2 linked regions of the Coturnix japonica genome follow. The protein of the gene in region 2 binds, or shares a complex with, the protein of the main gene of each other region. Links are inferred from orthologs where the notes say so. Each region holds a gene or a part of one and is shown on either strand. Other genes may lie near its edges.

The links. The genes of interacting proteins can lie anywhere in the genome.
Region 1: the proteins of NRIP1 (region 2) and RORA are in contact, whole or in part, in a crystal structure (PDB 4S15), measured with the Homo sapiens proteins. The link is inferred for Coturnix japonica from reciprocal best matches to the Homo sapiens genes NRIP1 and RORA. Residues at the interface, in NP_001426204.1 of Homo sapiens: Thr499, Leu500, Leu501, Gln502, Leu504, Leu505, His507; in NP_599023.1 of Homo sapiens: Gln332, Val335, Lys339, Phe344, Met345, Gln349, Gln352, Ile353, Leu356, Pro505, Leu506, Glu509, Leu510.

What each region holds. Positions count from the first base shown.
Region 1 is NC_029525.1:4,146,547-4,150,046, forward strand, and holds part of RORA (nuclear receptor ROR-alpha), read left to right. Parts: coding exon 1-151; intron 152-2,829; coding exon 2,830-2,951; intron 2,952-3,500. UniProt on the Homo sapiens protein: Nuclear receptor that binds DNA as a monomer to ROR response elements (RORE) containing a single core motif half-site 5'-AGGTCA-3' preceded by a short A-T-rich sequence.
Region 2 is NC_029516.1:88,468,395-88,472,503, forward strand, and holds the start of NRIP1 (nuclear receptor-interacting protein 1), read right to left. Parts: upstream 2,801-4,109; 5' UTR 2,528-2,800; intron 2,512-2,527; exon of another isoform or gene 2,493-2,511; intron 1,997-2,492; exon of another isoform or gene 1,813-1,996; intron 1-1,812. UniProt on the Homo sapiens protein: Modulates transcriptional activation by steroid receptors such as NR3C1, NR3C2 and ESR1. Also modulates transcriptional repression by nuclear hormone receptors.

The DNA of each region.
Region 1 (3,500 bases), on a different chromosome or scaffold from region 2:
GACATACAACCTTCTCCAGATCAGTCGGGTCTTGATATTAATGGAATCAAACCAGAACCAATATGTGACTACACACCAGCATCGGGCTTCTTCCCTTATTGTTCTTTTACAAATGGGGAGACCTCTCCAACTGTGTCCATGGCAGAATTAGGTAATGAGAGAGAAAAACTTCCATTGTAATTGTCTTGATAGTACCCATTAAAAAATAAAATGACACATTTAGCCAGGTGATAGCGAGAATGCTGCTTCAGGACAGCTGTGAGCATGTATGGGCATTCTTCTGTGAAGTGCACAATACCCTAATTAGTTGTGGTGCATGGTTGAACACAGTACAGAAGTGGACTAAAAGCCACATAAGCTTGTCGTTGATCAGATCTAGTAGTATTGTTTTTGTTTTCAATTCATGTAATAGCATGTTCTGTATACTTCTTAACAAGATAATTGGTTGTGCTGAGGAAATGGAGTATTTCTTTATTTGAAGATTTATATATATATTTTTTAACATTTAATCTTCTTTTTTATTAGCTCAATTCTCTGTTTCCTAACAAAAAGTTATATGGACTATTTTTTTTTCTGCTCTTTACCTGTACCTGGGGAATGTGGAACCAAAACATCAGTCTAATCTGAGGGCAGTTCACCATTCTAGTGGCTGAACAGAATCTGGCTCCAGACTTGAGAAAAAATTTCAATGTAGCATGTTTTGACAGTTTCCCTAAGATCCGTATATTAACCGCATTAATTAGCACATTTTCCTTTAAACTTTCCCCTCAGTGATTATAGGAAGGCTGAATTCCATTACTATGACTTGTTAGCATCTGGGTCTTATGTTAGAGAGCCGTGTGTCAAGTGGTTATAAGCAAAATGAAGCAAGACGTTACAGAAATGACTTTAAGATTCTGGTACTTATACATGCAATCAGGAGTTTAAAACATTTATTTTGTTTGTTTAATGGCATTTTTTTCTACATGTTTCAATATGAAAATGACCTAAAAATTGAAAAAATTATCTACTTCAAGATAATCTGTCACTTTTGTTGTCGGTTTTAATTAGAGGCAAGTATTTGGTGAGAAATTCTGCTTGTTTTAGTTTATGTTCTTCTGAGAAATTTTGCAGAGAGAAAGGGACAATATTTTTCATGTCCTTATGTTGTAGAGTGCAGTTCTCTGCAATATTATGTGTTGTGACAGCCAAAACATTGCATCTCACTTGAGTTCAAACACCTCCAGTAACAGATGAAGTAAAAGCAAAAAGAAAAAAACTAAGATAAACACTATTCTTACAGCTTTGTCTCAGTCAAGTGATTGTTAATGTTCTCATGGGAATTACTAAATGATGAACATTAAAACTACAGAAAAAAAGAAAGGGCTTTTCCTTCTTAGGCCAGGTATTCAGTTTGGAGCACTAGCATAAGATAAGTTTGTCATATTCCTTACCTTTATTTACATAGTGATTGCATGTAAACCCTATGGAACGTGATTTGGTGCCCAGCACTGACATTGCCCAACAACCTCTGAAGAATGTTTGTCTTCTAGACTGATGTTTCAATTTAGGAAGGTGGGGCTGTTCAATGAAAGTATTTAAGTGTATGCTTAAATACAGTCCAGAACTGAGGCTGAGGTTAGTGAATAACATGGTAATATTTCACTTTCTGTATCCTGCAAGGGCATAGGAATAATGCTGTCAGATGCTGACAGTAAGAAAAATAAGTGTTTTAAGTACACACTGGTCAACAAATATTGCACTGAAATACACCAAAGCTCTACACCCATGTTCACGATCACCAGCCTTACTCAGTTCCAACAAGCAGTGGGACACCACCCACTAGATCACGGTGCTCAAAGCTCCATGCAGCCTGGCCTTGAGCACTTCTAGGGACAGGGCATCCGCAGTTTCTTCCCAATATCTGATCTGAACCTATCCTCTTTTAGTTTAAAGCTATTACCCCTTGTCCTGTCACTACACTCCCTGATAGAGTCCCTTATCTACCCATTACTACCACATTATTCTCTGCAGGGCTGATGTTTTGGGACCGCCCCCACTCAGATGCAGGACCTTGCACTTGTGGCTTTAAGCTTTCCTTTTAGCAGCTGGTCTAATCTGCAGAAGTACCAACTGCAGAACGGTGTGAGACAAGTCTACTTGTCATATGCTAAAATATGAGACAAGACAAATACAAAGAGTCAGGGCAGAAAAGTGGAAGACTTTTAAGACTGAATACTATTTCATAGCATAATTCTTAGCCCAGGTTTCAAAGCTGACTTTATTTTACTAAAAGCAGCAAGACCTCTTACTGAATTGACAGGAGTTTGAATGATTTCACAGAGTTTTGCCTTTATCTCTCAAGCTTTTTGATCTTGCAAGCTTTCTTTGGCACCTGCTGCCTTGTAGGAAGTAAGTTTGTCCCAAATACAGTATTCTTTATTCAAAAATAAATTCAAGTCCACCTAAATATCTTAAAAATTAGTGAAAGGATTCTGCTTTGTGTAACTTAAAATATCAGAGCTGCATTGTGAGTGTAAGCAATGTGTGTGTGTGTGTGTGTGTGTACAGAGTGCCCTCTAATGGCTGCATTGGGCCCATGAGGAGCTAGGCAAGGTATGTTAACATCCAGAATTCTGTTTTGTTTACTGCAGCGTTAGCAGTTTGCATTGATTTATTTTTAAGGGAAAAAAAAAAAAAAAATCCAAGGAGATATTAAATTAAAGCATTTCTTTTAACAGCTAAGCTTTCCTGCAGCTCCCAGTTGTAACTGGAATATGTTCATCTTCTCATGTCTGAAGGTATAGCTTTGCATTTTTAATGTGTGCAACTTTCTGGTCTTTCCTTTAGAACATCTTGCACAGAATATTTCCAAGTCTCACATGGAAACTTGCCAGTACTTGAGAGAGGAGCTACAGCAGATAACATGGCAGACTTTTCTGCAGGAAGAAATCGAGAACTATCAGAACAAGGTATAAAAGCATGCCAAACTCTGGCATGCTTTTTTAAAGCATGGTTTTTCCATAACACACTGAAAAAATCACTTTTTCACTGCTTTCTGTTCAGTATCAGGAACGTACATTTTTGTGTGTTTTCAAAACAAAAATGAAACAAAAAAACCTGCTAGAATCAAGATGAGCAAGGTGGTTGCAATGTGGTTTGTGATTTTGAATTTATGATTTTAACCATAAACACAGGGAAATGTAAAGCTCTGGAAATACATTTGTCTGTAATTGATAAAATGGGATATAAAACTAGAGAATTTTTTTTCTCGCCAACATGGCATGCTATTTACTATTGTTACACTGTAATCTCCCTAATCATTCCCACATTCCCCCCCAACAACAAACTAGTTCAAAGCACCAGGTTATAACTGTAGAGTCCTTTACAGCTGACCTGTGAAATACTGATCAATACCAGGACATGCATCGGTCTTACTTTGTTTCCATTCCTATCTGGTAATTGAAAACCTGAATAGGAGCCAGTCAAAAAGCCATTGGCTTGTTTGACACTTTATAATT
Region 2 (4,109 bases):
GTGTGGAGCACAAGGGTTGAGTAAGGCAGCTGACTGTGGGAAATGTAACTCCCCAGCTTTGCCCTGGGCAAGTTTATACATGTGCTCCACACAATGCGAGGCATAGTTTATCTTTGAGTGTGTCCTGCACTGTCACCAGTAAAATTAACAGTGCTCTCATGGCTAACAATAATACAGCTGGCACTGCAGAAACCTTTTGCCAACGTTCAAATACAGGGAAAAAGAAAAAGGAGAAAAAAAAAGTGAGCTATAAGCTTTAACACAAGTAAACAAGCTTTTACCAATGAATTAAAAAACAGCCCAATGTTAAATAACAGCTACAAGCAAATACCTACCAGTAGGCTAACCCACATCTGAGTTCTACAACCTTTAGTGAATCAGTTTTAAAAATATAAAGTCTTTAATGTCTTTCACATTACAGAACTCATCCTACGTACAGCAGACTACTGACCATCAAGGTGATACCACCAACCCTTATCAATCACCTGTTTACAATTAAAAAATATCAGTTCGCTTTCAATTCTTTATGAATGTATTTTCTATGACTATAATAAACGTTGGTCATTTCTGCTCTCCAGCTGCGTTTAGTGTATCTGTGGCTTTAGAAGCAGAAACGTGGAGCAAAGAGGAAGGCGTGTCTCATTTGATATTTTTTTATCCCATATCTACTTGGAAGGGGGAGGAAGGGGACACACACTTAAGTTATTTAAGTAAATAATAATAATGCAGCACGGTTTGGCATTTGACAGCTCCTTTACTCTGTGCACACATGGTAAACAAAAAAGCCACTGCCGGGATCCCCCTGGTTAGATCACTAAGAGCTACAGGCAGGGCAGTCCAACAGGAGGCCAGCTTCCAGCCCTGCCTAAAACACACAGCTAAGGGTAACAAGTGCCTACTTGTTAGTTCTTCCTTCCTGCTGACAAAAACATACACCCATCCATCTACAGATTTAAAGCACACACACAAAAAAAAGCCACCAGCTGCTTTATTCTGGAGGCTATCTCAGGCCATACGAGTGCTGATAACGCAACAGGGCAGACTTCCTCAGCCACAAGCTCAGGAAGACAGCTGTCCCAGCAGCAAGAGCCAGAGCCCTGCTCGAACGCAGCTCTGACTGCGAACTCCTGCTCTCCGAGCGCCTGCTCCTGCTGCCCGCGGAGCAGCAATTACTCAGATGCCATCGGATCAGCTCTAAGCCACAAGCGCTCCCAGCCGGGTGAGCCCGTACCACGGGGCCTCTGGATGTGCCACCGGGCAGCGATCAGCCGGGCCCGTGGCAGCGCTCCTCAGGTCGGTGTGGGTCTGCTGCTCCCCTCGGAACGCCCCAGCTCTCCAAGGAGTCTCCCTGCGTCTCGCAGACCACATCTGCCCTCTCCGTTAAACGGAGCGGTACAGCACCTCTAAACACGCACCGTGCCATGACTCAGTTAAATTCCACTCAGCGGCAGTGAGCACCCAGCGCTGCGCCCAGCTCCCTCCGAAGGAAGCCCAGGGCAGCCCGGCTCCTGGATTGCAGACAGATGAGGCAGAAGAGAACAACTTCCACGTCACCTTCTCCAACATCACCGCACCGCCAAAGACGGGAATCGCGCTGCTTCATTAATATTATTTTCCCTTCCAACATCTTCAACACGTGTCAAGCATTTTAGCTTAACTCTTCTTAAAATTAAGAGCCTATAATAAACAGACATGCGGCACAGACACAAGGCTGCGTGCACTGAGGAAGCTTCCTCTTATTCCGTCCACGCTCCGACACCACGTTTCCCCAGCTTTCGCTCCGTTCCAAGTTAATTACCCGCTGACACTTACACAGAGCAGCCTCCGACAGCGCGTTCCGCAGGGAGAAATCACCTTTTAAAGGGCTTCGGGGACAACAACACACGCCCGCACAGTAACCTTTGGTCTGGAAGGGGAACGGCGACGTCCCCGCGGGGCCGCGAGAGCGCCGGCGCTGAGCACGCAGCCCCGTGGCGGCGGGCAGGGAGCTGCGCGCCCGCAGGTGGAGGTGGAGCGAGCAGCGGCCGTACCGGGGCAGCGGGGGCCGGGAGGCGGCGGCCATCGGGAGGGCGGGCAGCGAGGCCGCGTCCCGGCGCTGCCCCGGGCGGCGCCTCCCGACCCCTCGGGCGCTGCGCGGCCGGCTGCGACTCCCGAAATAATCCACGCCGAGGGGAGAAGGAGCGGAGAGCGGCGCTGCGGCCGGCCCCGCGCTAAACGCCGCTAACTTTTCCGCCCCTCCGGCTCGCCGAGCCCCGCGGCCGGGTAACTTCCAGCCCGCCCCACCGGAAGCGCTCCCCGCCGCGACCACCCCGCTCCCGGCTCACCCCGGCATTGTTCCCCGCCGCCGCCCGGCAGCGCAGCGCCGCGCCGCCCCGTCCCCGCCCGCCGCGCTCACCCGCCGGCCTCGCCTCACCGCGGACAGCGGGGCTCCGGCAGCGCGGACAGCGGCGGCTCCGAGCTCGGAGCCCCCCGTCCCCGACTATTAGACGCACCGAGCCTCCCCGCGCCCTCGCCCCGCAACACGTACACAGCGAGCCGAGCTCTGCGCCGCTCCCCTCCGCGATTCGGGGCTCTGCTGCAATGCCTGTGAGGCTGACTTTCAAAGCCTAACCCGCAGCCGCGATCTTCCCCGCCTTCCACCTCGCCCGGCGCGGCGCAGCCCGGCCCCTCCTCCTCCCTCCTCCCCCCTCGCCATTCATCTCCTCCGCCAAGTTCCTTAACCCTTCTCGCTCCCGGGCGCTGGGGCAGGCAGGTGGCCGTCAGCCGCCTTCCCGCTGCTGGGCCGCTCGTGAAGCCCCGGGAGCGAACTCACCGCAGGACCTATATTTAATAAAAAAAAGCTTCGAAATAACACCTTTTTTAATTTCTCTTCCCCACTCCCCCCACCCCCCTTGCTTGTTAAGCATAACGTGGGGAGGCTTCCTGTGGTTACCGCTTTAGAGCTTCTTTTTGCAGCCTTTCCACTGTAAAACTTTTTTTCCTCTCCTGCCCCCGGCCCCGCTGACCCCCGGCCTGGCCCTCGCAGCTCCGAGCACACACCTCAGCCCGCGGCCTGTGCATCTCCACTGCCAGGGGCTTCACGCAGATGGAAGCAGCCTCTCCTCTGCTGTCAGGTGTTGAGAATTGGGGTTGTGGCAGCCTATGAAAACATGGAGTGACCCACGCCCCAGTAAGTGAACAGGTCGTGAGAACAACCTGGGACAGGGCCTCCAAAGAGAACTAGTCCTCCATCTTGGCACAGGGCATCCACGCAGGACTGTGCTGTGAGAAAGTACCTTATGAGTCTGTTAGCAGTCAAGGTTTTCTGTAGACTCCGTTCCCATCAAAGAATAGTCGAAGAGTCAGTAGATCCACACCAGACTGTCTGTTTAGTCGAACTACAGAAAGTGCATGACCTCAGCCACGTCATCCATGGACAGAGCAGAGCCTGTGTTTAAAGAGAGCCGTGATGCTGTGTAAAGCATTTCTTAAACAGTGTGCAGAACTCTTTGTGACACTTCTCTTAGAAGTTAAGGATCGCAAGGAGAAACATTTGTTTACAAATCATTTATACGCTGCACGATGATATCTGTACTAACGTATGCCAATATTTTGGTTCTGAAACTCATGTAAAATAAGTGGCGTACCCAAGTGTGGTTTAGTAACAGGCTGATATCATGAAAGAACATACGAGTTTCTGCTTAAGGAAAGCAAAAGGGAGTCCTGTTTGTGAAAAGCCAAATGCTTGAGCTCACAGATACCACGGCTGAAGTGCACGTAGGAATGTGGAGAAAACCCCTTTTCCTTTGGAATGCGTGGATTGTGTATGCGCTTACAGCAGAGCTACTAATGTATTACTTGACCTATTTTTTTAAGCCAATGAAAGATTTAGGTTAACTTCATCATCATGTGTTTTTAACCACTTTTTTTCTTTTTTTCCAGAAAAGCAGCAGCGTTTGCTAAAGCTACTGTGTGTCACATTTTATACACAACGGCCTCTTTTTCTCTGGGAGAATGTCTCACCATATCACCAGACCATGCTGCCAGTAAAACAACTAGTTCTGCTGTTCCTTTCCACGGGAGCCTCATTAACAAATTCTGTTTGTAAAGAAATGATCTTTCATTTTTTA